Arabidopsis thaliana: one gene and its partners. The protein of the gene in region 3 interacts with the protein of the main gene of each other region in a pairwise test. Each region holds a gene or a part of one and is shown on either strand. Other genes may lie near its edges.

The links.
Region 1: the proteins of OBF5 (region 3) and NPR3 interact in binary tests that used the Arabidopsis thaliana proteins (3 or more experiments, as listed by UniProt).
Region 2: the proteins of OBF5 (region 3) and NPR4 interact in a two-hybrid assay, tested with the Arabidopsis thaliana proteins (2 studies listed by BioGRID).
Region 4: the proteins of OBF5 (region 3) and TPR2 interact in a two-hybrid assay, tested with the Arabidopsis thaliana proteins (one study listed by BioGRID).

Annotation. Positions count from the first base shown.
Region 1 is NC_003076.8:18,226,902-18,232,082, reverse strand, and holds NPR3 (NPR1-like protein 3), read right to left. Parts: upstream 3,316-5,181; 5' UTR 2,765-3,315; coding exon 2,231-2,764; intron 2,143-2,230; coding exon 1,392-2,142; intron 1,318-1,391; coding exon 1,117-1,317; coding exon of another isoform or gene 1,052-1,116; exon of another isoform or gene 1,024-1,051; coding exon 749-1,023; 3' UTR 505-748; downstream 1-504. UniProt on the Arabidopsis thaliana protein: Salicylic acid (SA)-binding substrate-specific adapter of an E3 ubiquitin-protein ligase complex (CUL3-RBX1-BTB) which mediates the ubiquitination and subsequent proteasomal degradation of NPR1 in response to SA.
Region 2 is NC_003075.7:10,695,727-10,700,745, forward strand, and holds NPR4 (NPR1-like protein 4), read right to left. Parts: upstream 3,067-5,019; 5' UTR 2,518-3,066; coding exon 1,999-2,517; intron 1,908-1,998; coding exon 1,169-1,907; intron 1,088-1,168; coding exon 540-1,087; downstream 1-539. Other genes in the region: AT4G19670 (RING/U-box superfamily protein), read right to left, coding at 3,657-4,065, 4,325-5,019. UniProt on the Arabidopsis thaliana protein: Salicylic acid (SA)-binding substrate-specific adapter of an E3 ubiquitin-protein ligase complex (CUL3-RBX1-BTB) which mediates the ubiquitination and subsequent proteasomal degradation of NPR1 in the absence of SA.
Region 3 is NC_003076.8:2,153,238-2,158,261, forward strand, and holds OBF5 (OCS-element binding factor 5), read left to right. Parts: upstream 1-1,508; 5' UTR 1,509-1,808; intron 1,809-2,423; exon of another isoform or gene 2,424-2,439; 5' UTR 2,440-2,504; coding exon 2,505-2,570; intron 2,571-2,641; exon of another isoform or gene 2,642-2,646; coding exon of another isoform or gene 2,647-2,652; coding exon 2,653-2,724; intron 2,725-2,815; coding exon 2,816-2,875; intron 2,876-2,975; coding exon 2,976-3,053; intron 3,054-3,128; coding exon 3,129-3,180; intron 3,181-3,335; coding exon 3,336-3,607; intron 3,608-3,686; coding exon 3,687-3,932; intron 3,933-4,016; coding exon 4,017-4,163; 3' UTR 4,164-4,482; downstream 4,483-5,024. Other genes in the region: AHBP-1B (bZIP transcription factor family protein), read left to right, coding at 86-357, 451-696, 791-937.
Region 4 is NC_003074.8:5,729,639-5,737,551, forward strand, and holds the start of TPR2 (TOPLESS-related 2), read left to right. Parts: upstream 1-1,880; 5' UTR 1,881-2,070; coding exon 2,071-2,150; intron 2,151-2,235; coding exon 2,236-2,415; intron 2,416-2,494; coding exon 2,495-2,608; intron 2,609-2,696; coding exon 2,697-2,855; intron 2,856-2,938; coding exon 2,939-3,116; intron 3,117-3,205; coding exon 3,206-3,338; intron 3,339-3,474; coding exon 3,475-3,590; intron 3,591-3,714; coding exon 3,715-3,847; intron 3,848-3,929; coding exon 3,930-4,039; intron 4,040-4,218; coding exon 4,219-4,288; intron 4,289-4,391; coding exon 4,392-4,462; intron 4,463-4,546; coding exon 4,547-4,642; intron 4,643-4,710; coding exon 4,711-4,803; intron 4,804-4,889; coding exon 4,890-5,017; intron 5,018-5,144; coding exon 5,145-5,379; intron 5,380-5,483; coding exon 5,484-5,642; intron 5,643-5,738; coding exon 5,739-5,834; intron 5,835-5,935; coding exon 5,936-6,085; intron 6,086-6,181; coding exon 6,182-6,292; intron 6,293-6,414; and 12 more. UniProt on the Arabidopsis thaliana protein: Transcriptional corepressor. Negative regulator of jasmonate responses.

The DNA of each region.
Region 1 (5,181 bases), about 16 Mb from region 3:
TCAGTATAGATATAGATGCCAACAAACGAACAAGGAAGGACTTCGAGAAAGCTGAAAGAACAAAGGCTCTCCGTAATGTTGAAACGCCACTGAACTCAGTGAAGTGAATTTTAGACTGGACTGAACAGAGTGACAAATTGGAAAGGCACAGTCCTTCGTTGGTACAATATTCTTCTATTGCTTTACGATGTTGGAAAGGCACACTTAACATATAATGCAACTTGAAATGCTTTCTTTGTTGAAGAAGACAGATAGACAGTATTGGTCAGACAAGCCCCTGCCCCGACCCTATGCCAAAGAGAGCAGCTAACATCTACTTACTGGGACATACATGTGACAGTTCTGTTCAGAATGCATTATTACAGGTTGTTTGGAAGAATGGTTTTTGTTCTTTACTCTTAGCCACCAGTAGTCTTATCTTCTGTAATTATGTAAAGAGATAGCTATGATTGACAAATGATCATGTTTTTTCCTGACTTTTTGTGGAGTGTCTTTGTTTGTTTAAGTTTCAGGTATCTGAGAATATCTTGTAGATAACCTAAATATTAGATTTTTGTATTGAAAACAAAAGATTGCGTATAGTTAGAACGTTTTGGGTTAATCAGCACTCCTAATCTTGTACATCTATCTATCCATCTCTCTTTATTGAAACTGAACCTAAAGCATCTGTATAAAATCTGAGTAACATCCATAAAGAAAAAACCCTTTTAACAAAGATATCTAATTACATTTGACTTATGGTGCAGTTTCATGTTGTGTTGTGCAGGTCATCTCTTATGGAAGAAGAAGAAGGAGAAGATGAAGCAGAAAGACAAGACCGCGCAATCTTAGACTCTTTGTCTTTGCTATATGCCTTTTGGACATCATCCTTAAGCTCTCTATATCTCATTCTTTTCAATCTTCTTTCATGTGTAGATCCCTTCTCAAAATGGAAATCGTCGAGGATGTCGTCGTCTATATACTCAGCCATGTACTTATCTAGAACCTCTGAACCATATGGAAAAAACCTTCGACCAGTCTCAACTGCATTGTGAAACGGTAATGAAGTCAGTCAAGAGAAAATGAGCAACATAAGAAGATGAAGGGTAGACTTACAGAGAGCAAGCTTTTTGTTACCTGTTTTCATTAGAGCCACCATACGAGTAAGAAGTCTTTGGGTTTGCATATGAGGAGTTTCGTTTAAATCAACCTGACTCAAGTTTCCGGTTAACCCACTCGAAGGAGGTGACAAACCCGTGAACTCACTTGTACCTTCTACGTTACCAATGTCCATAGCAACTTTAGCTTCCGTTGGAAAGAACAACTGAGCAAGCCCCACTGCAAAAAAGGTAGAAGCTTTAACAAAAATGTAGTAAAGATACAGAAGAATTCAGTAATTTTCAGTCAATTACCTCTCTTTTCTAGGTACAACAGTCTCATCTGGAGATCTTCAGGCATAGAAATGGAACACATTGGTGTATCTAGAACCATGGGGTTCTTCCTGATTTCTCTTTCCAAGATATCGATGCATAACCTGGCTTTACTAGATTCACGCCCTTTAGCTGTTTTGGTATGATAATCCTTTGGATTTGTCAGTCTTCTTAATATATTAACTGCGCTACGTCCGTCAGATGTAAACTCAGATGCATTGGCGCCTTTATCGATAAGCGATATAATGATCGATGGCTCTCTACGCATCGCAGCAAAATGAAGAACCGTGTAACCCCGGGAATTCCTGTAGTTCACATCACCCATATCCAGAGCAAGAATCTCGGCAACAACTTTCGGATCACTATACACAACAGAATAATGCAGACCATTGGCTTGATCTAGAGTGATATCTGACTCAGTCAAAAGAAGCTTCACAAGCTCAACATCATCTGAATCCAAGGCCTTGAGAATTTTACCGATTCTTTCAAGCAATTTCTCCGAAATCTTGGGACTGGTTTCTTCGTCTTGCGGGGATATAAGTCGAAGCTGTTTAATCTTCTCTGCTACTTCGGGAGGAACTTCCTTTTCAATACAGAACCTGTAAAGATCTGACCTCGCCACTCTCTCAATACACTGATCAAGAAGCTGAGTCAACTTACAATTGAAAGCAACCATAAGAATGGGAAGAACATTCTCAACAAGGGTCTTCTCCACAAAGTTACAAAGCCGCCGCTGCAAGCACACAAACCTTTTAGTTCTCATTGAGGTCTATGAATTAAGAAACAAAGAGACCGAAGAAAAAAGAAGACTTTTCACACACCTGAAAAGATGAAACTAGCTCAGGCACTTGGAGAACAGAGGAAGCATACATCAATTGAACAACAAAATCAATGGCAGGTCGACAACAATCATGAGAACAAACTGGATCAACACAAGTCGAAACCTCCAATGGAAAAGGCTTTAATCTCCCAGTATATATATAACTCAAGAAATACAAGAAAGCTTCATGAGCAACAGCTCCATAAGGTAACATCTCTCTCAACTGATACTTTGGTTTCTCAGTTTTCGAAATTTTCTTTTCTTTCTTAAACAAATCTTGGAAAAACTTACTTCTTGCAGCTAAAATGCATCTATGAACACCAACTGGAACACCATCAACAATGATCTCTGCATCACTGTAATCACAATCTGAATTACTAAGAAGCTGCTCAAGATTGGAGCTGAGTTTGGTTAGACTAACAACTTCAGGATTAGAAGCTGAGCTTGATGAGAAGTGATTGGACCCAATAGAACCATAAGAGAAATGAGAAGATGTGAAACTCAAAGATGATGATGGCTCAGTCAAAGTAGCCATTTTCTCTTCTTCTTCTTCTTGTAGAATTATCAATCTTGCATGAAGATCAAGAAGATTACACAAGTCTGAAGATCGGTTTCAGATACAAAAGCCCTAAATTTACATTTCTAACAAGGAATCAACCAAACCCAGAACCAAAAGAGGAAAATTTGTACACTTGGGGATTTGAGTTATGAAACTATTACTCTTACACCTCTGATTCAATGTACCACAAAAAAAAGTCAAAAGGAAAGGAAGAAACTTTGGACAAGGAATCAAACAAAATTGGGAGAGAAAATAAACCCTAAGAGAATCTGACACAACCAAGGATATAGAGATTGAGATCTGCACAATCGTAAGAGATAAGATCAAAGAGAAGGCAAAAGAACCAAATTGAGATGTATCAAAGAGATAAAAAGGAAGAGAATTTAGAGGAAAAGTCAAGAAAGAAAGAGAGGTATATAAAGGATAAATGATGATGAAATTGAGAACAAACAGGACACAACAGGTGCAAGTGATGGTGAAAGAAAGAGACAGCTTCAATGTGAAGGAAGATACAGAGGAAACAAGAGAGTTAATATAATAGTTTTTTTTGTAAATTTAATAATATGAATTAATAAGCATTAGAATTAAAAACATGGTCTAATAAAGTGTATAAAGAAAGACTCAAATGAAAGTTGACAAATAGAAAACAAAGACTAGAAAAATCCGTGTATGATGCCAAAGGTTCTCCGTGTATGACGCCACTCACTAACATTTTCCACATCTTTCTCTAATTTAACAAATCTATGGATAAACACATATTTTTTTTCTCATCAAAATCACTATTTTTATTTGACTGCGATATATCACATCATTAATATATTTTTATTTACATCATATTATTCAATAGTTTTAATTTGTTTCTTAGGTGTAAATAACTTGTAATGATATGCCAATTAATGCCGTCACGAAATAGCATTAAGTCAAGAAGATTAATATTAAGAAATAGCCGTCACTATTGATGACGGAAGGAAGTGACGAAAGCAAATACGAACGGCATATGAATGACGTGGCTTGTGTGTGGATTGCTGCAATGTGATGACGTATTAAACAATTACACTTTCGGAATAGTAGATAAATCATAAAGTAATAGTAGAGATTATAATAGGCAATAGCTATGCCTATAGTGGTCCAAATTTTTATTAAATTTATAATTTTGTGATGACCAAAGTCATTCTTTGTGGCCTAGTTCCAAATTTTAAGACATAAATAACGTTTTGAAATGAATTGAATATAGATATGAGGGACGACAATTTTGTCTTGATTTTTTTTTTTAAAACAAGAAGATTCTTGGCTTCGTAACAAAGTGGTGAAGTCTCTTATGCTAGCATTCTAGTCGCGTCGGAAATTCGACTCTACCTACAAGGCTACAAATACAATCGGTGAAATGCGTTAGCTGACTATTAAAAAAAAAAAAACTCTTTAAGGATAGTCGTTGAATAGTTTATTCATCAAATTTTTATATGAAATAAAATTTAATTAGCATTATTTCGATTGGCAATGATTCCTATGATTAAATTTTCGACTTTCGGTAATGCTATCGAATATAGAATTCTAACTATAAATATATATTTTTAACAAAAAATAACATATAAGTGTAAACTTGGATAGTGACAATGCAACGTCACTAATACAAATCATATTAGTATATTACTTTGACTTAAACTATCAAATATACGCTAAGTTTTGGTCACTAGTGACGCTGCGTTACTTTGGTAAACCATATGTTAATTTGTATCTTTCGTTCACTAAGTATCACTAAATCATATATTAAACCATCAACGTCACTAATACAAATCATATTACTATGGCTTAAATCATCAAATATGCGATAAGTTTTGGTCACTAAATAATTATTTTATGTATTACTTTGGCTAAAACCATCAAATATTAACAAGACAAAAAAAAGTTTCCTACCAATTCGTTATTTAGATCAGAAGTTTTAACCCATTCAAATTTACAAATTTCTTACATAAACTAAGTATAACGATGTAACCCATAAAGCCTTGAACTCACACAAGATTGAGGACATATATATTGGTAGTTATTCAAAATTGTTATATCACTTTATGACTCAAAAACGTAATTTGTTTTGTTGATGTCAATGGATTGATTTCTTTTGTTTTCATGTTTTTTTCTTTTTTTGCCATAAGACCAAAAACTTCAGGCTTTACTTCATGAAAATCCTAACACTTTTCATTTTAGTGGAATATTTAAATTCTTAACAAAAAGACAAAAACAAAACTCATACAAGAGATAAATCATTCTAAAGAGGAGTGTAAACTAGTAAAGCGTGACCTAACACAAGAGATAAAAATCATTCTAAGAGGAATTGGAAACGAAACTTAACTTGATGAAACAATTAAAAAGAAAAATAACAAAACAAAAAGAAAACT
Region 2 (5,019 bases), on a different chromosome or scaffold from region 3:
TGATTTGGATTCAGAGCATCATATTTTTCCTTTACACATTTTAAAAATCAAAATCCCTTGTAATACAAATTGAACCTAAAGCCAAAATGGGATCTTCAATCTTTTCAAAGGAACTATCTCTATTCTCTAGTTCCTGTTTTGCTATCAGAAGCAGGCTTAGATTTTGGTATTGAGATTAATTCAACACGAGGATCTTTCCCCTGAGAAAGTGCCTGTTTAGTAATTCTCTTGCAAGAAGCTTGAAAATCTTTTAACTAGCTTAACATTTTTCTTGTGCTTCTCGTTCTGCTCAATCGTTGCTTCGATTTCACTTCCATATATTACAATTTTCTGACTAAAGAAAGAAGCAAAGCAAAAAGGAAAGGTTTTGCTTTATACATTTCAAAAATCCATCTCCTTTAATACAAAATCAAACCTAAACCATGTAATAAACCTGAATACCAAAATGGGATCTCCACTGTTTTCTAAACCAAAACCTATAAAATAGCTAATTTCTTCCAAGGAACTATCTCTAGTAGCATTACTTATCTGGGACAAGATCATGTTGGATTCTCTAAGGCTTCTCTAAGAGAAGAAGCTGGTGATGAAGAAGAAAGACAAGACCGCGCGACTTTGTCTTTGCTATATGCTTTTTTAACGTCGTTCTTCAGCTCGTTATATCTCATCCTCTTCTGTCTTCTCTCTTTCACAGTGCCTTTCTCGGGATACGACATATCAGGGATTTCTTCGTCCATATACTGATCCATGTACTTATCCAGAACCTCATAACAAGATGGGAAGTATCTCCGACCTGTCTCAACTGCGTTGTTGAACGGTTTCGAATCAGTCAATCTTGTGGTCAGAGAATAAAACTTGAAAGTACATTTCCTTAAGCTTTTACCTGTTTTCATGAGGGCTTTCATACGTGTAAGCATTCTTTTCGTTTGCACATAAGGCGTTTCATTTAAATCGACTTTACCCAAGTTTTCAGTTGTATCATTTGATGGAGGTGGAGTTAGAAGACCTGTGCACTCGCTTGTCCCTTCAACATTAGCAACGTCCATAGCCACATTGGCTTCTGCTGGGAAGAACAACTGAGCAAGTCCCACTGCAATGACACATACAAGAATTCAATAAAGAGACATCAACCTTAAGCTATGAGAAATATATATATCGACTAGGTCAATACCTCGCTTTTCTAAGTATAACAACCTCATTTGGAGATCCTCGGGCATCGAATGGGAACAAGTGGGTGTATCCCCACTAACCAATGGATTCCTTCTAATTTCCCTTTCCAAGATATCGATGCATAAGCGGTATTTACTAGGTTCTTTCCTTGAGGTTTTGGTATGATAATCTTTCGGCCTAGTGAGTCTCCTACATATATTTACCGCACTGCGTCCATCAAACGTGAAATCTGAAGCATTAGCTCCTTTTTGAATAAGTGGTATGATAATTGTTGGCTCTCTACGCATAGCAGCAATATGAAGAACCGTATACCCCCTGGAATTTCTGAAATTAACATCAGCCATATCTAGATCAAGAACCTGTGTCACAACTTTCGGATCACTGTATGCCACTGCATAATGTAGACCATTGGCTTGGTCTAGAGTTATATCTGACTCAGTCAAAAGAAGCTTCACGAGTTCTACATCATCTGAATCCAATGCCTTGAGTACTTTCCCTGTTCTCTCTATCGATTTATCCTCCACCTCGGGTATGTTCACCGACTTAACTCGAAGCTGTTTGATTTTTTCCAATACTTCTAAAGGAAGCTCCTTTTCGATACAGAATCTGTCTAAGTCTGATCTCGCCACTCTCTCAATGCATTGATCAAGAAGCTGTGTCAAATCACAATGAAACGCAACTAAGAGGATAGGAAGAACATTCTCTACTAGTGACTTCTCAACATAGTTACGAAGCTTCCGCTGCAGACACAACAACACACAACATTACAGCCTTGACCAATCAAGAACAGATTATTTACCAGCAAAATCACAAAGAAACTTTATCTCAAACCTGAAATGACGAAACAAGATCCGGGATTTGGAACACAAATGAAGCATACATCAACTCAACAGCAAAATCAATGGCCGGTTTACAAGAATCATGAGCACAAACTGAATCAACACAAGTTGAAACCTCGATAGGAAAAGGCTTTAACCTCCCAGTGTAGATATAGCTCAAGAAATGCAGAAATGCCTCACGTCCCACATTTCCATATGGTAATAAATCTTTCATTTGATACTTAGGTTTCTTCTCACTACTATCTTTATCTTTCTTAAACAGATCAAGAAAAAACTTGCTCCTAGCAGCTAAAACACATCTATGAACACTCACAGGGTTAGCTTCTTCTTCAATGATGATCTCTGCGTCAGTGTAATCGCAATCTGGATTAGTGAGAAGCTGCTCCAAGTTAGAGCTGAGCTCTTCAAGATTAGCAGCTGAGTGATAAGTAGTAACAACAGGAGAAGGGTTTGATAAGTGAGAAGATGTGAAACTTATAGATGAAGATGGCTCTATTGCAGTTGCAGCCATTTTGTTCCCCAGAAGTATCACTCAAAGACTCTGTTTTTGATCTTCAAATCCCCAAGGATACAAAAACCCTAAATCTAAATCCAATGACAAGGATCAAATTTTGAGAAGTGATTGGATCAAAAACAATACAGAGAAGATCATAGATATGAAATTAATCAAGCCCTGAAGAAAAGATCCAAACTTTATGAAAGAACATTCTAATGAATCAATGTGAAGAACAAAGTCAATTCGAGAAATGCTTCAAAAAGTCAACGAAAATGGCGGATGAGAAAAAAAAACTAAATGAAACTTAAATCATAAGAGAAAGAACTGAATAGATGGGTAGTCTTCAAAATCATTGCACAAATGAAAAAGATTTCAAGAAGAAGAAGACAATCTCAGAACAGATGGGAGAAAAAAATCAGAGGTTTATCTAAAAGCTAAAGGTGAGAAATAAGAAGACTGACCAAATAGTAAAGTCTTTGGAGAATAGTAAAGAAAGAGCCAATTCCTAATCCAATCTCCTAAATTTTGTGACGACGATTCAAAAACCGTAAGCAATGTCGTCAGCAATTGAAGACGACTTGAGTTGTGGTGAAGTGGGTCTATGACGTCTTAAATAACGTCAGCTTTGAGAAATATACACAAAATGCTAAGTAGATTGATGATAAGTGGACCCTTTCTAATAAGGTCATAACTTATAAAATGGGTTATGTTATGTCTACACAAAAACTCAAGATAATGCAAGAGTAGATTGATGATAAGTGGACCCTTTTTAATGGGTTCTGTATTTTATTTGAAGAGCATGAATAATTGAATTTATCAAACTTTTTCTTTACTTGGTAGTTGGTATATATATGATGATGCTAACCAAGTTCATTTTGATTAGTTCTTCAACCAAATTTTGGTAGATTAAATATCATAACATAACACTGAATATAAAAGAGTGTTAATCTTTCTTGCAGGATTTGTAGAATGGAGATGAGCAAACTCTTCTTCTTATAATTGCAAATAGTTTCATCACAATTCGTTTGTTTGAGTTCATCAAGAATCTAAAACCCTCCCAACAATTACTTTCGAGAGTGAGATACTCTCGTTTGGCCTCTCTGAACCAAACCAAGCCGGATCCTCAAGGCTATTAAATTACAATTCTACTACTTTCACTGGCTATTATACTCTTCATAGTAATCATCACTTATAACAGACACAAACCTCTCAAGCCAAGGAAGCTGATGAAGATCTTTCATTGCGGCTTCAACATATGATGACTCTGTACATGGAGGCGGCGGTGACTGATAAGTAGTATGGTGATCACTGAGACTAAACCCTCCACCTGCTAAGAACCTTTGGATCAGAGCAAGCTGAGATCTTTCTTGCTCTGAGTACGCGTCCATTACAGTTGGAATTGAGTTAAATGTGTCCCAAGGCCATTGCTCAACTTCTTGAATTGTGTTTTCCTCTACTGCGTTTTCTTGTTCTTCTTCATCATCGTCCCAAAAAGCACACGTGCAAGTCTGTTGCCCTTCTCTGTACTCTGCTCCACACGAGTAGCAAAACTCATGCCCGCATCTGCGGAAAACACAGAGAGTTTTGACATTTATATGCGTAAGAATCGCAAAAGAAACACTTGCTCTAGAATACTAGATTTAAACGTAGGCGAGAAAAAAAAAACCTTAGAATCATATGGTTATTACGATACCGTGATTCTGCAGTTAAAGGGTCAAGACTAACTATATTTTATTGGAAGTCAAAAACCTAACTTTGGTGGTTCAAATATGTATAGATACGGAAAACAATGTGTAGCCATAGATATATATGTGTGTCTTACCGGCAAGTCATGTGGTTGCAGCCTTGAGCAAGCTCGATCATTATACGGCATTGCTGACACCGCCTCCACCTCTTATACCTTGCCAAGCGATGCAATGTAATATCATCTGGGTATCTTTCATCAACTGGAAGAATCTGAAACTCTTCACAGCTCATAGAAGCATGCCAAGGAACACCACAGTCCACACACACAAACCTCTCACAGACTGGACACTCCACACAGCAGCTATTCTCTGACTGAGTAGACGAGCTTGAGCTAGCCCTTCCTGATGATAGACATTCTTGCGGGTCTAACAGAAAAGAGCAATTGGGATATGGGCAGTAAATCTTCCCATTGTTTTTACTACACACATTTGCTTCCTCGAATGATTTGAAAGTAGTGACGGGAAGGAACGATTTGCATTCCGCTGCTGAGAGATAATGCTTGCATTGCACTTGAGGACACCTGATGGGAACCTCTGAAGTCTTTACTTTCCCTTCAACGTACGTTTTCATGCAGTGCGAACAGAATTTGTGAGTGCATTTCAATGATAGCATCATCTCAGACTGACGGTCTTCACAGCAGATCGAGCAGTTCTCGATCGGTTTATCCCCATCAAGATTAGAAGACACGATTCCTACCGCTACTTGAGCCAAGCTTAGAGCTTCATCAAGATCACAGAAAGGAGCAAGCTTTAGAACAAACCCATTAAGGTT
Region 3 (5,024 bases):
CTAATTAGCACTGGTGTAGATTTAGATTTACAAGATGACGAATCTCATGGGTTTGTTTTGATCATGTATAAATTTTTTAATTCAGGTGCTTTGGCGTTTGATGCTGAACATTCACGGTGGTTGGAAGAAAAGAACAAGCAAATGAACGAGCTGAGGTCTGCTCTGAATGCGCATGCAGGTGATTCTGAGCTTCGAATAATAGTCGATGGTGTGATGGCTCACTATGAGGAGCTTTTCAGGATAAAGAGCAATGCAGCTAAGAATGATGTCTTTCACTTGCTATCTGGCATGTGGAAAACACCAGCTGAGAGATGTTTCTTGTGGCTCGGTGGATTTCGTTCATCCGAACTTCTAAAGGTGAGGTCAAATTTCACTTTGTCTTCACCGATTGCATCTGTTTCTACATAGAACATAAAAAGAATGGTCATAGGGAAAAATGTGTTGAAACAGCTTCTGGCGAATCAGTTGGAGCCAATGACAGAGAGACAGTTGATGGGCATAAATAACCTGCAACAGACATCGCAGCAGGCTGAAGATGCTTTGTCTCAAGGGATGGAGAGCTTACAACAGTCACTAGCTGATACTTTATCGAGCGGGACTCTTGGTTCAAGTTCATCAGGGAATGTCGCAAGCTACATGGGTCAGATGGCCATGGCAATGGGAAAGTTAGGTACACTCGAAGGATTTATCCGCCAGGTACAACACTTGTGATGTTTTGAGATGATATCTTAGTTAAGAGTATATATATATATCAATAGGTTAATAATCGTCTCTTGGTTGGTGGTGGCAGGCTGATAATTTGAGACTACAAACATTGCAACAGATGATAAGAGTATTAACAACGAGACAGTCAGCACGTGCTCTACTTGCAATACACGATTACTTCTCACGGCTACGAGCTCTAAGCTCCTTATGGCTTGCTCGACCCAGAGAGTGAAACTGTATTTTGGTCACATGTCAGCTGTACAAAATCCATATGGACACAAAACCAGGAGAGACTATTAATCAACACTTGTCAGATTCTTCTTACCAAATCCATCAACAAATAAGCAAATTTCTGGGAAACAAAAGACTCTTTGTATGTAGGTTTCTTCTACATGGTTGTGGTAATTCATGTTGTTTTAGTTGTAGTCATCAGTTTTTAATTTAGCATTTGAAAAGTTCAATGTTGTTTATATAGCATCTTCGATTATCTTAGAAAGGTTATTGAATTTTGTTTTTTTTTGTTACTTTTGTGTGTGGTAAAGGTGTTTTAACCTTGCAACTTCTGTACTGTAATCATTTAACAATATTAAGATGTTCTATTTGAGTTTTGTAGTTTCATCGCTTGTGTCTTAAATCTTATTTAGTGAGGATTCTAATGTAAACTTCCAAGAGATGATGAAAATGAATTTACATTCAAAGTAAGTGTGATAGATTTTTTTGTAATAAAAAAAGGGACATGTCATTGTCAAAACCAAGAATTATTTTGTTTTTAGAAAAAAGAGAGTGTTGCAATTTTCAGAGGACTTTTTAACCCTCAGCATCTAGAGGTCCACCATCACTTGAGTTTCGTCTTCCATTCCTGTTTTTTTTCAGAGACCGGCAAAATAAAAAAAAAGAAGATCGTACAACTAAAAATACCTCAAAGAAGGAAGATACAAAAGTAGTAACCTTTGTTGGTGATTGATACTATATCTGTTGTGGGTTTTAGACAAAGACCACGTCTTTGCAGTTGTAGATTGGAATTTTCCGGATCTTTCTCTAAATCGCTTTTTCTCCGAGCAACTTTTGTTTGGGGTTAAGCTCAAAGAATCCGTTCTTTTCAGGTGAGTCTCTTCTTCAATAGTCTTAGGGGTTTTAGTTCTTCAGTTTTCTTATTCTGCCTCTGCTTTCATGATTGTTTTTTTCCATTGAAGATTTTGACCTTTGAGGGAATTTTTTCCTTTTTGCTTTATGTACGTGTTAAGGATCCAAAATCATTATTTCGGACACTATTTAAACGAATTGGTTGAGATTTGATGTTATGAAGCTTGAATTTTGTGTCTTTTACTCTGTTTCCGGGGCTAGTTTGCTAAATTCTGAATCTTTTAGCTCTACTTCAGTCTAATGTTCAGATTAGTTACTGTTTCACCTCACGGAGAGCTTTACGCTATAGAAGTCCGTTGGTTCTCATTTCAAATCATATAGGCGTGCTTATTGTTTACTTTGATTCTCTGGCTTTGAATACTCAAAGTTCTTGAGGTCATTGGTTGCTTCACAGCTATGTGTTAAGTTTAGTGGTTTGGATCTTTATGTTAGTGTGACATAAATAGGGTGATGTATCGTATCATTGTTTCCACTTTCTTGATTCTACTTAATGCGTTGGTTTTTGGCTTAAAAATATGTTTTCTTTCTCTATAACTCTAATCTTTTGTTTATGTTTACCATCTTACTTTTGACAGTCTTTACTCCATCTAGGGTACCACGATTGGATCGGTTTTTATCTGATGATTTAGTAACAGAGATTTTGAAGAAAAAGAAAAATGGGAGATACTAGTCCAAGAACATCAGTCTCAACAGATGGAGACACTGATCATAATAACCTAATGGTTAGCTTGTAAAATTTCTAGGTCTTGCTTCTTTATGTTCATTAAATGGCCAAAGTTTTGAAATAAAACAGTATTTATGCAGTTCGATGAAGGGCATTTGGGTATCGGTGCTTCTGATTCTAGTGACCGTTCAAAGAGTAAAATGGATCAAAAGGTGAATATAAACATCTCTATTTTGCAAGAGTTTGGTTTTTGTCATTGAGCCTTTCAGTTATGTTTTTCTTGTTTGTTGTTGTAATCAACAGACGCTTCGTAGGCTCGCTCAAAACCGTGAGGCTGCAAGGAAAAGCAGATTGAGGAAGAAAGTATGCTTAGATTTATGTTCATAGTTTCAATTCTTTTATGTTTTTTACAAGCATAGCTATTTGCAAACTCTAAGATGTTTGTTGGTTACTGCACTTTTAGGCATATGTTCAGCAGCTAGAGAACAGTCGATTGAAGCTAACACAACTTGAGCAGGAGCTACAAAGAGCACGGCAACAGGTTTTAACTTTGTTCAGCTATATTTGTGTAGATATTTGCTCTGTTGCATACATAACATTTTTCTCTTAATCTTAGGGTGTCTTTATCTCAAGCTCTGGAGACCAAGCCCATTCTACCGCTGGAGATGGTGAGTTAGCTGAATCATAATTCATAACCATTTATTGATGATGTGGTTGAAAATTTTAGTTTTGTTGGTTATAAAGTAGAGCAAGCACTAGTTTGGTTGATGGTGTTGATCACTTTCTTGTGAGATAATTTTTTATGAATGCTTCTCTTTTACAGGGGCAATGGCATTTGATGTAGAATACAGACGATGGCAGGAAGATAAAAACAGACAGATGAAGGAGCTGAGTTCTGCTATAGATTCTCACGCGACTGATTCTGAGCTTCGGATAATTGTAGATGGAGTAATAGCTCACTATGAGGAGCTTTACAGGATAAAAGGCAACGCAGCTAAGAGTGATGTCTTCCATTTATTATCAGGGATGTGGAAAACCCCAGCTGAGAGATGTTTCTTGTGGCTCGGCGGTTTCCGTTCATCAGAACTTCTCAAGGTAAAAAACACACGACCAGGTTCGGTTTATTTGGTCTCTTCACTAGCAAGTTTCCAAACTTTTTACTTCTCTACTACAGCTTATAGCGAGTCAGTTGGAGCCCTTGACAGAACAACAATCGCTAGACATAAATAACTTGCAACAGTCTTCTCAGCAAGCAGAAGATGCTTTGTCTCAAGGGATGGACAACTTACAGCAATCACTCGCTGATACTTTATCGAGTGGGACTCTCGGTTCAAGTTCATCAGGGAATGTAGCTAGCTACATGGGTCAGATGGCCATGGCGATGGGGAAGTTAGGTACCCTTGAAGGATTTATCCGCCAGGTACGTTACAATTTTGTTGTTTAACATCAAATGAAAAAAGTATTTTGCAGTCAGTTGATAGAACCATCTTATTGTTTGTGGCAGGCTGATAACTTAAGGCTACAAACATATCAACAGATGGTGAGACTATTAACAACCCGACAATCGGCTCGTGCTCTCCTTGCAGTACACAATTATACATTGCGGTTACGTGCTCTTAGCTCTCTATGGCTTGCCAGACCAAGAGAGTGAACCATGACTCTATTATACTTCAACGAAGGTCCAGAAAATTTGAGATTCTTAGCATAAGATTTGACGACTTTAGACACGTAGCTCGTATACAAGATTATGATTATACTGTTTTGTGTTGTAATGTTTGTGTGTAATGAATGTATCTTGAAATCATAAAAGTCCCGTAACATTTGAAAAGCATTAGGATACTAAAGAGAAGCAGTGACTTTGGTTTTGTACAATATCATTACAAATTATAAACACAGTCATTCAGTTTCTAAGCGAATGTAAATGAGACATAACAAAGAAACAATAGTGGATGAGTTGAAAGGAGTTGTCGCTCATGATTACGAGAAGAGAAACAACGAAAGCAATCAAGCATAGTCTACGCATGCATTTATAGCAACTTGTATTATATCCAAATCCTTGGATTTCTTTGCACAATAGTTTGAACTTGGTTCACGTCACGGTATGAGTTTCTCATAGACGCTATTAACATCAATCCTCAAAATACATAAAAGAAACATTGGTCAAATATTAAACATAAATGGGATTTCAACCGTCAATTAATCATTAATCTTATTTGAATGCTTAAGAATTATTAAGAGTTGTAAAATATAAGCCGACTAGATTATGATCAGAGAGGTTGATTTATTATTATAATTACTAATTAAATCATGGGGTCAGCAGGAGGCAGGAGCCGCACACCAAAAACCTTAAGAGTCTATTTTTCTTCATTCAAGAGTTTTACTGAATTTACGAACACGCTGGTCTGGTCCGGTCACAACATACTACTTTTACCGCAGAACCCAGACCAGAGCCCCATCTGGTCCCAGTTTGATGAAATTGATCGTAAACTACAAACATTTGTATAAAAAGCAA
Region 4 (7,913 bases), on a different chromosome or scaffold from region 3:
GAAAAAAAATTAAATATTTATTAAATAAAAATTAAATTTATGTTCGTTTTATATTTAATATTTAATTTGAAAAATAATTTATTTATTTTTTAATTTTTGTTACTATTTATTCTATGTTTTGGTTATCATTTACAGTAACATTTGTTCTATTTTTCCTTTATATCCATTCCTTTTCATTCCTATTTTATCATTTTTTCTTTTCCTGTTTGTTCTTTTTTAGTCATGTTCTTCTTCATTCCTTGTATTCATTTATAGGTCACCAATCGGACCCGATATGTTGATTTAAAGAGAGTGGACATATCAATTCTGGTAGCTGGTAAAAAGCATCTATTTCCTTTGCTTTCAAGCTCATGTGTTACACAAACATGTTATAAAGTCATTTTTTTGTTTTTCATATGCAAAGAGAACAACAATTGTATCATGGACAATACAGAACTTCTTTATTTTCATCTAAATAGCAATGCTAAAGAGAGCTTCTAAGGAAAAAAGTGTCTAAGATGTATTCGGCTGTTTCAAAAAAATATTGGAAGAGCCAACGAGAGATTACATACTAAGTGAATAATAATGGTCTGACATACAAATTAATGATCAAACCATTATTATGTCAAGAGCGAGGCAACCATATTCGATTAATTAGTTCGCACTGCTCTAAGAGATGCTAACGGGACCCTAGAGAGCACTTCCTCTTCCAAATCTCGGGGAAGATCGGACATCGCCATTGTTGAATCTCTCATCTCCAAGTTAGGTCAAAGCTTCTACAACTCTTTTCGTACCTTCCGGCTATATATGTAACAGCAATTGAAGACACAACTCACTGGGCTAAACCTGGGCTTCAGTTATCAAGTCGGCCTCTTAATGTGGGACCAATACATTTTTTGTATTTGATCGTATAGCAAAAACAAATGATTAGCACCATGTGGAAACATTAGAGAGTTTGTGTAATTAAATTTCAAGTTTCTTTTCTGTCTTGTTATATACATAAAAATGGTTACAGTAACCTTGTTTTTTCTAGTTATCCTCATATGCTCCAAAAACATAGGAGAAAACATAATCATGAACTTTTTGACCAATAGTATTGTTAGGACTTGAATTCTCTTAGATTTGTTAATTGATGATGAATTCTCTTAGATGTTTATAACACTATGAAAATCATTACTTAAAAAAAAAAAAACTAAGATGATCCATCAGTCACACTTTAAATGTTTTTTAAAATATGTTCATATGTTTTGTTTATGGCATTGCGTACATAATTTAATTAGACTAATTATAATATCGATCAAACAAAGAATTATTGGCTGGATTTGGTCGCAGCCATTAGCAGTCGCTCTCAACTAATATTATTACGAGAATCTCTAGCTGAGCAAGTATCTCGTATTTCTCACGCTCTGACGAAAACTTCTACGAGATAGACGCAGATATCGAGACCACGTCATTCCCCCTAACAAGGCAACAACATGTGGCGGACGCCAGTAAAACTCTGCTCAATTCACTTCAATTCCATTTTTCGAATCCGCGTGACGTAACCCACCTAAGGGTTTATAATCCACTACTTTGCACCCCCACCTAAAAATGCATCACAAGCGCGACAAGTGTCAATACAATTCAGATACGGAGAATACTCTGAGATCCCACATCTGCTTTCGGTGGGCTCACCCGCATCAGATAAAAACCCTAAGCTAAGGGATCAGACCAAACAGTTTAACCAAACGAGGTTATCAACTTATACGACAACGAAAGCACTTATCAATGATAAGTTAGTTAACTTATCAAACTACAGTCTGTGTGACAAAACGCATCGAAGAAAGTGGAGAACAAGTCGTACTTTTTTCTTTATCTTTTTCCTTTTTTATTAAATGAAAAAATATAAATAGAAATTTTGTAGCATCTCTGGGGTCAGCTTTTTCTTAATGTTCGCTTTGCGACGCGAGGAAATGCAACCTTGAAACCCTAGAAAACTCATTCTCAACTACGACTAAATCGATTTCGCAAACTTTGACCTACCCTTCTTTCACGATAAACCCAGATCGCTTAAATTCCTTGAATTTCTTCTTCTGAGAGTTTTAGGAAAAAATGTCGTCTTTGAGCAGAGAGTTAGTTTTCTTAATTCTCCAGTTCTTAGATGAGGAGAAGTTCAAGGAATCTGTTCACAAGTAAGTTTGTGCTTTGTCGTTTTTGTGTGCTTGTTTGGTTTCTCTGCGTAATTTTGGGTATAATTTGGAATTGGTTGATGTGTAGGCTAGAGCAAGAATCTGGCTTCTTCTTTAACATTAAGTACTTTGAAGAGAAAGCTCTTGCTGGAGAGTGGGATGAAGTGGAGAAGTATCTTTCTGGTTTCACTAAAGTCGATGATAATCGTTACTCTATGAAAATCTTCTTTGAGATTAGGAAGCAAAAGTATCTCGAAGCTCTAGATCGGTAATGATTTCTCTTCTTGTTTGGTCGGATATTTAGACTAGTGTTGTTGATTTGATACATTTGTGTGTTTTTATTACAGAAATGACAGAGCAAAAGCTGTTGAGATATTAGCCAAAGACTTGAAAGTTTTCGCTACATTTAACGAGGAGCTTTACAAGGAGATTACTCAGCTGCTTACTCTGGAGAATTTTAGGTTTCTTTTTTTTTTTACTTTGCCATTGATATTATTGAAGTTTTGGTAGGTGGTTACGATAATGTTGAAGAGTGTGTTTTTTTCTTAGGGAAAATGAGCAACTGTCGAAATATGGTGATACTAAATCTGCAAGGTCTATAATGTATACTGAGTTGAAGAAATTGATTGAGGCGAATCCTCTGTTTCGAGAGAAGCTAGCCTTCCCCAGTTTCAAAGCTTCTCGCCTGCGAACTTTGATCAATCAAAGGTGAACTAGGAGGAGTCATAATTCTTTCCTTTTTTTATAGAGATTAGTTAAAGTGTATGACAAGTGTGTTTGGGACATTGCAGCTTAAACTGGCAGCATCAGCTATGTAAAAATCCAAGGCCTAATCCTGACATCAAGACATTGTTCTTGGATCACTCTTGCTCACCATCAAACGGTGCTCGTGCACTCACTCCTGTCAATCTTCCAGTTGCTGCTGTTGCAAGACCTTCAAACTTTGTTCCTCTTGGAGTGCATGGTGGAGTAGGATCACTTACTTAACTTCCACCCATTCTATTATATAACTTAATGTTCATATTTTGAGGGTTGATGAAACAACTGTATCTGTGCAGCCCTTTCAATCTAATCCTGCTCCGGCTCCTAATGCCAATGCTTTAGCTGGATGGATGGCAAACCCAAATCCTTCTTCATCAGTTCCATCTGGTGTTGTCGCTGCTTCCCCATTTCCTATGCAGCCAAGTCAAGGTATAATTTATGTCACAACTTACAAGTGTCTGGATATTATGGTATCTTTCGTTTTTTTTTCTTACTTGTGATATTAGAGTTTTTAGGAAATGAATTTTAAGACCTGAAGTTCTATTGCTGTATTTCGTCTCAACAGTTAATGAGCTGAAACACCCTCGGGCACCGTCTAACTCTCTAGGATTAATGGATTATCAAAGTGCTGATCACGAGCAACTCATGAAACGCTTACGGTCTGCACAAACATCCAACGAGGTAATTGCCTTCAGGTTTTCCTTGTTTTTGAAACGCTTAGTGCTTACCTAGCAAACAAAACTCTTGTTGCTTTTGGAATGTGCGCTTTGATGTTGAGTAGATGGCTCTACTTTTCAAATCACAGGTCACATATCCTGCTCATTCTCATCCCCCTGCGTCACTTGATGACCTCCCTAGAAATGTAGTGAGTACAATTCGCCAAGGGTCGGTGGTGATAAGCATGGATTTTCACCCTTCTCATCACACTTTGCTCGCTGGTTAGTCCATTGCTACCATGAAAAGCTTAGTAGAGTTGAGATTTTTATTTGGCTCTTGTTATAATATGTCTGTTACTCGTAGTTGGTTGTTCAAGCGGCGAAGTCACCTTGTGGGAAGTTGGATCCAGAGAAAAGGTTGTCACAGAACCTTTCAAGATATGGAATATGGCGGCTTGTTCTGTGATCTTCCAGGTTTCTCTCTTCTTCCATCGTTTTTACTTATTTTCTTGATAAAGATAAATTATCTAGAAACATACTTTAACACTAAGCTAATCCAGCCTTGAGTGATTTATGTTCTGTTCTGTTCTATCCTATACTTTAAAACTAAGCTAATAAACTATGATTTTGTTGTGCGGGCATTTTCTCGCCAGGGTTCTATAGTCAAAGAGCCATCGATATCCGTCACTCGTGTAGCATGGAGCCCAGATGGAAACTTGCTTGGTATGGTAGATGGAGATTGTTCTCCTAAAAACGTTTTAAAGATATATAGTTGTAATTTCAAGTAGACACGAAGTTTGAACTTTGTAACATTTTCCATGTACAGGGGTTTCTTTTACTAAACATCTGATCCATGTATATGCTTACCAAGGCTCAGACCTACGTCAACACCTCGAGGTATGTTTAATTGTCTTTTCGTACTTAGTTTCTTGCCTTTGCATCTGCACCAAACTTAATCGATCATCTGTTTCTGTGGATTAGATTGATGCTCATGTAGGCTGTGTGAATGACTTGGCGTTCGCCCACCCAAATAAGCAAATGTGTGTTGTGACTTGTGGGGATGACAAATTGATTAAGGTACGTTAGGATTATGATGACTCTGAACTCAGTTTTATTATCCCGTGTCTAATTATGATATTTCCTAGGTGTGGGATTTGAGTGGGAAGAAGCTCTTCACCTTTGAAGGGCACGAGGCACCAGTTTATTCCATTTGCCCTCACCAGAAGGAAAATATTCAGGTGCAGGCATCTCTTGTTTAAAAAGACCTGAAAAACTTTCCCTTTCGCTGTCTTGTAATTTATTTTTCTCTTTTTTTACTATGCAGTTTATATTCTCAACCGCTCTTGATGGAAAGATCAAGGCGTGGCTCTATGATAATGTTGGTTCTCGGGTTGATTATGACGCACCGGGACAGTGGTGTACAACAATGCTCTACAGTGCTGATGGAAGCAGGTACATCATTGTTATTTGAAAAGCTCTGGAGTTGTATAACAAAATTATGTCTCTGCCATAAATTGAAATCTTCTGAACAAAATATAGGCTCATATCATTATCAAGTAAATATCTGCTATGATTTCAGACTATTTTCTTGTGGGACGAGTAAAGAAGGAGACTCTTTCCTCGTCGAGTGGAATGAGAGTGAAGGTGCCCTAAAGAGGACATATTTAGGCTTTAGGAAGAAATCAGCTGGAGTTGTTCAGTTTGATACAACCCGTAACCGTTTCTTGGCTGTTGGTGAAGACAATCAAATAAAATTCTGGAACATGGACAATACAAATCTTTTGACAGTTGTTGAGGCTGAAGGTGGACTTCCGGTATGACATTCTTGCCCAAAATACTCCTCTTGGCTACTTGTATATAAAATCTTTTGTATTCTCGAGCCTGTTACTTTACTGATGCTATGTACCGTTTATTTCAGAATCTACCCCGATTGAGATTCAACAAGGATGGGAATCTTCTTGCAGTTACTACAGCAGATAATGGATTCAAGATCCTTGCAAATACTGATGGTCTCAGAACCTTAAGAGCATTTGAAGCGCGGTCTTTTGAAGCATCTAAAGCATCCATTGATATGAAGGTCTTGGAATAATTACTCTTTATGTTATCCATGAAATATTTTTATTACTCATGCCTTATGTCCAGTTTAACTCGAGTGTCAATACCGGTGATTCAGGTATCCACCTCCGCAATGGCTTCAAGCATCAGCCCCGCTATTGGTAAAATTGAACACATGGACGCAGGCTCTCCTGCAAGGCCAACCCCAATTCCTGTATGATTTAAATTTTAGTATATCTTTTTCAATATATATATATATATTTTTTCCTATTTCAATAAGAATCCTTATATGTGGTCTCTGTTGGTGTTATGCAGAATGGAATTGAGGCAATGTCAAGAACTATGGAAAAGCCAAGAAACTTGGACTCTGTTGATAAGTCTAAACCTTTAGAGCTCACAGAAATTGTTGATCCGACTCAGTGCCGACAAGTGACAATGCCAGATAGCAAGGACTCTGTTAGCAAGGTTTGTTACCGTCTTAGCTTGAAATTGCCCATCAATTGTTCTGTTTCATTAATAATTATCTTGAAATAATCTTTTGCTGCTATGTCAATCCTTAAGGTTGCTCGGCTTCTTTACACAAATTCTGGCGTTGGTGTTTTGGCTCTTGGATCAAATGGTGTTCAAAGACTATGGAAGTGGATCCGCAATGAGCAAAATCCAACTGGGAAGGTGATTCGTTGTACCTTTCAAATTTTACACTCATGTGGTTTGTTGATATATGTGAGTTGTTGAGTCACTTGTTTGAAGCTCTCTTGCATAAGTGTCTGAAATTTTGTCCTTTTATTGTGAAGGCAACTGCTAGTGTAACTCCACAGCATTGGCAGCCAAACAGCGGTCTCCTAATGGCAAATGATGTTCCCGAGAATCCTGAAGGGAGTGTTCCGTGTATAGCACTTTCCAAGAATGACTCATACGTAATGTCAGCTTGTGGTGGAAAGGTTTCGTTATTCAATATGATGACTTTCAAAGTAAGCAGCTTAATCCAACTTTTTCTGTTCTCGGGAGCATCTCCTAAATACTGATACCTCAGGAGCTAATGAAACTATTTGAGTAATATGCGAAGCTAAATGCATTTTTCCCTTTCGTGCAGGTAATGACAACTTTCATGCCACCGCCACCAGCTTCAACTTTCTTGGCATTTCATCCTCAAGATAATAATATTATTGCAATCGGGATGGAGGACTCGAGTATACATATTTACAACGTCAGGGTAGATGAGGTATAGTACATTTGTTCTATTCTGCGGTCTACTGGTTTTTACTGGTGTAACTGCTGATTCATCTCTTAAATGAATTTGTAATGTAATCTCTTTTAATCTATAGGTGAAAACAAAGTTGAAAGGTCACCAGAAGCACATAACTGGTCTAGCATTCTCTACCGCGCTCAATATTCTTGTCTCTTCTGGTGCCGATGCTCAGGTAAGACAAAATTCATGTTTCTTAGATGCTATTGGAGCTTTTCGTGTCCATGTTGGCTTGTAACTTAACAGACTCGTTAACTCTCTTTATTACAGCTCTTCTTCTGGACCGCTGACTCGTGGGAGAAAAAGAAATCTTCAGCGATACAGCTACCACCTGGCAAAGCACCAGTAGGCGACACACGAGTCCAATTCCACAACGACCAAATCCAGTTATTGGTTTCACATGAGACACAGCTCGCCATTTACGATGCTTCGAAGATGGAATGCATTCATAAGGTATCGTAAAAAATCTTTGTATTTACTTGGAGATCTTGAATGATTATAAGAAACCTTAAATTCTCATTCCTTGTGCAGTGGGTGCCCCAAGAAGCTCTCTCTTCGCCCATAACCTCTGCATCTTACTCATGCAACAGCCAACTGGTTTACGCGTCATTCGCTGATGGAAACATTGCAGTCTTTGATGCTGAATCCTTGAGACTCAGATGCCGCATTGCCCCATCAGCCTACATGCCTCAACCTACACCAAACAGGTACCGTATTTTACAAACTTCATATAAAGTTTATATCATCCATCTGACCATTGTGATTTTTTGGGACTGATTATGCTTTCTTTTTCTTCTGTGATAGTGCACCGATTTTCCCACAGGTGATCACAGCTCATCCACAAGAACCGAATCAATTAGCGGTTGGACTGTCTGATGGTTCGGTTAAAGTGATTGAGCCATCAGAACTTTCTAGAAGATGGGGTGTTGGCGTCGCAGCTGGTTCAGATAAAGCAGGGACTGAAAATGGACGGCCGTCTAGTTCATCAGCGGCTAACAACTCAAGTTCGGATCAGATTCAAAGGTAAAAATAGTTTATGTCAGTTAA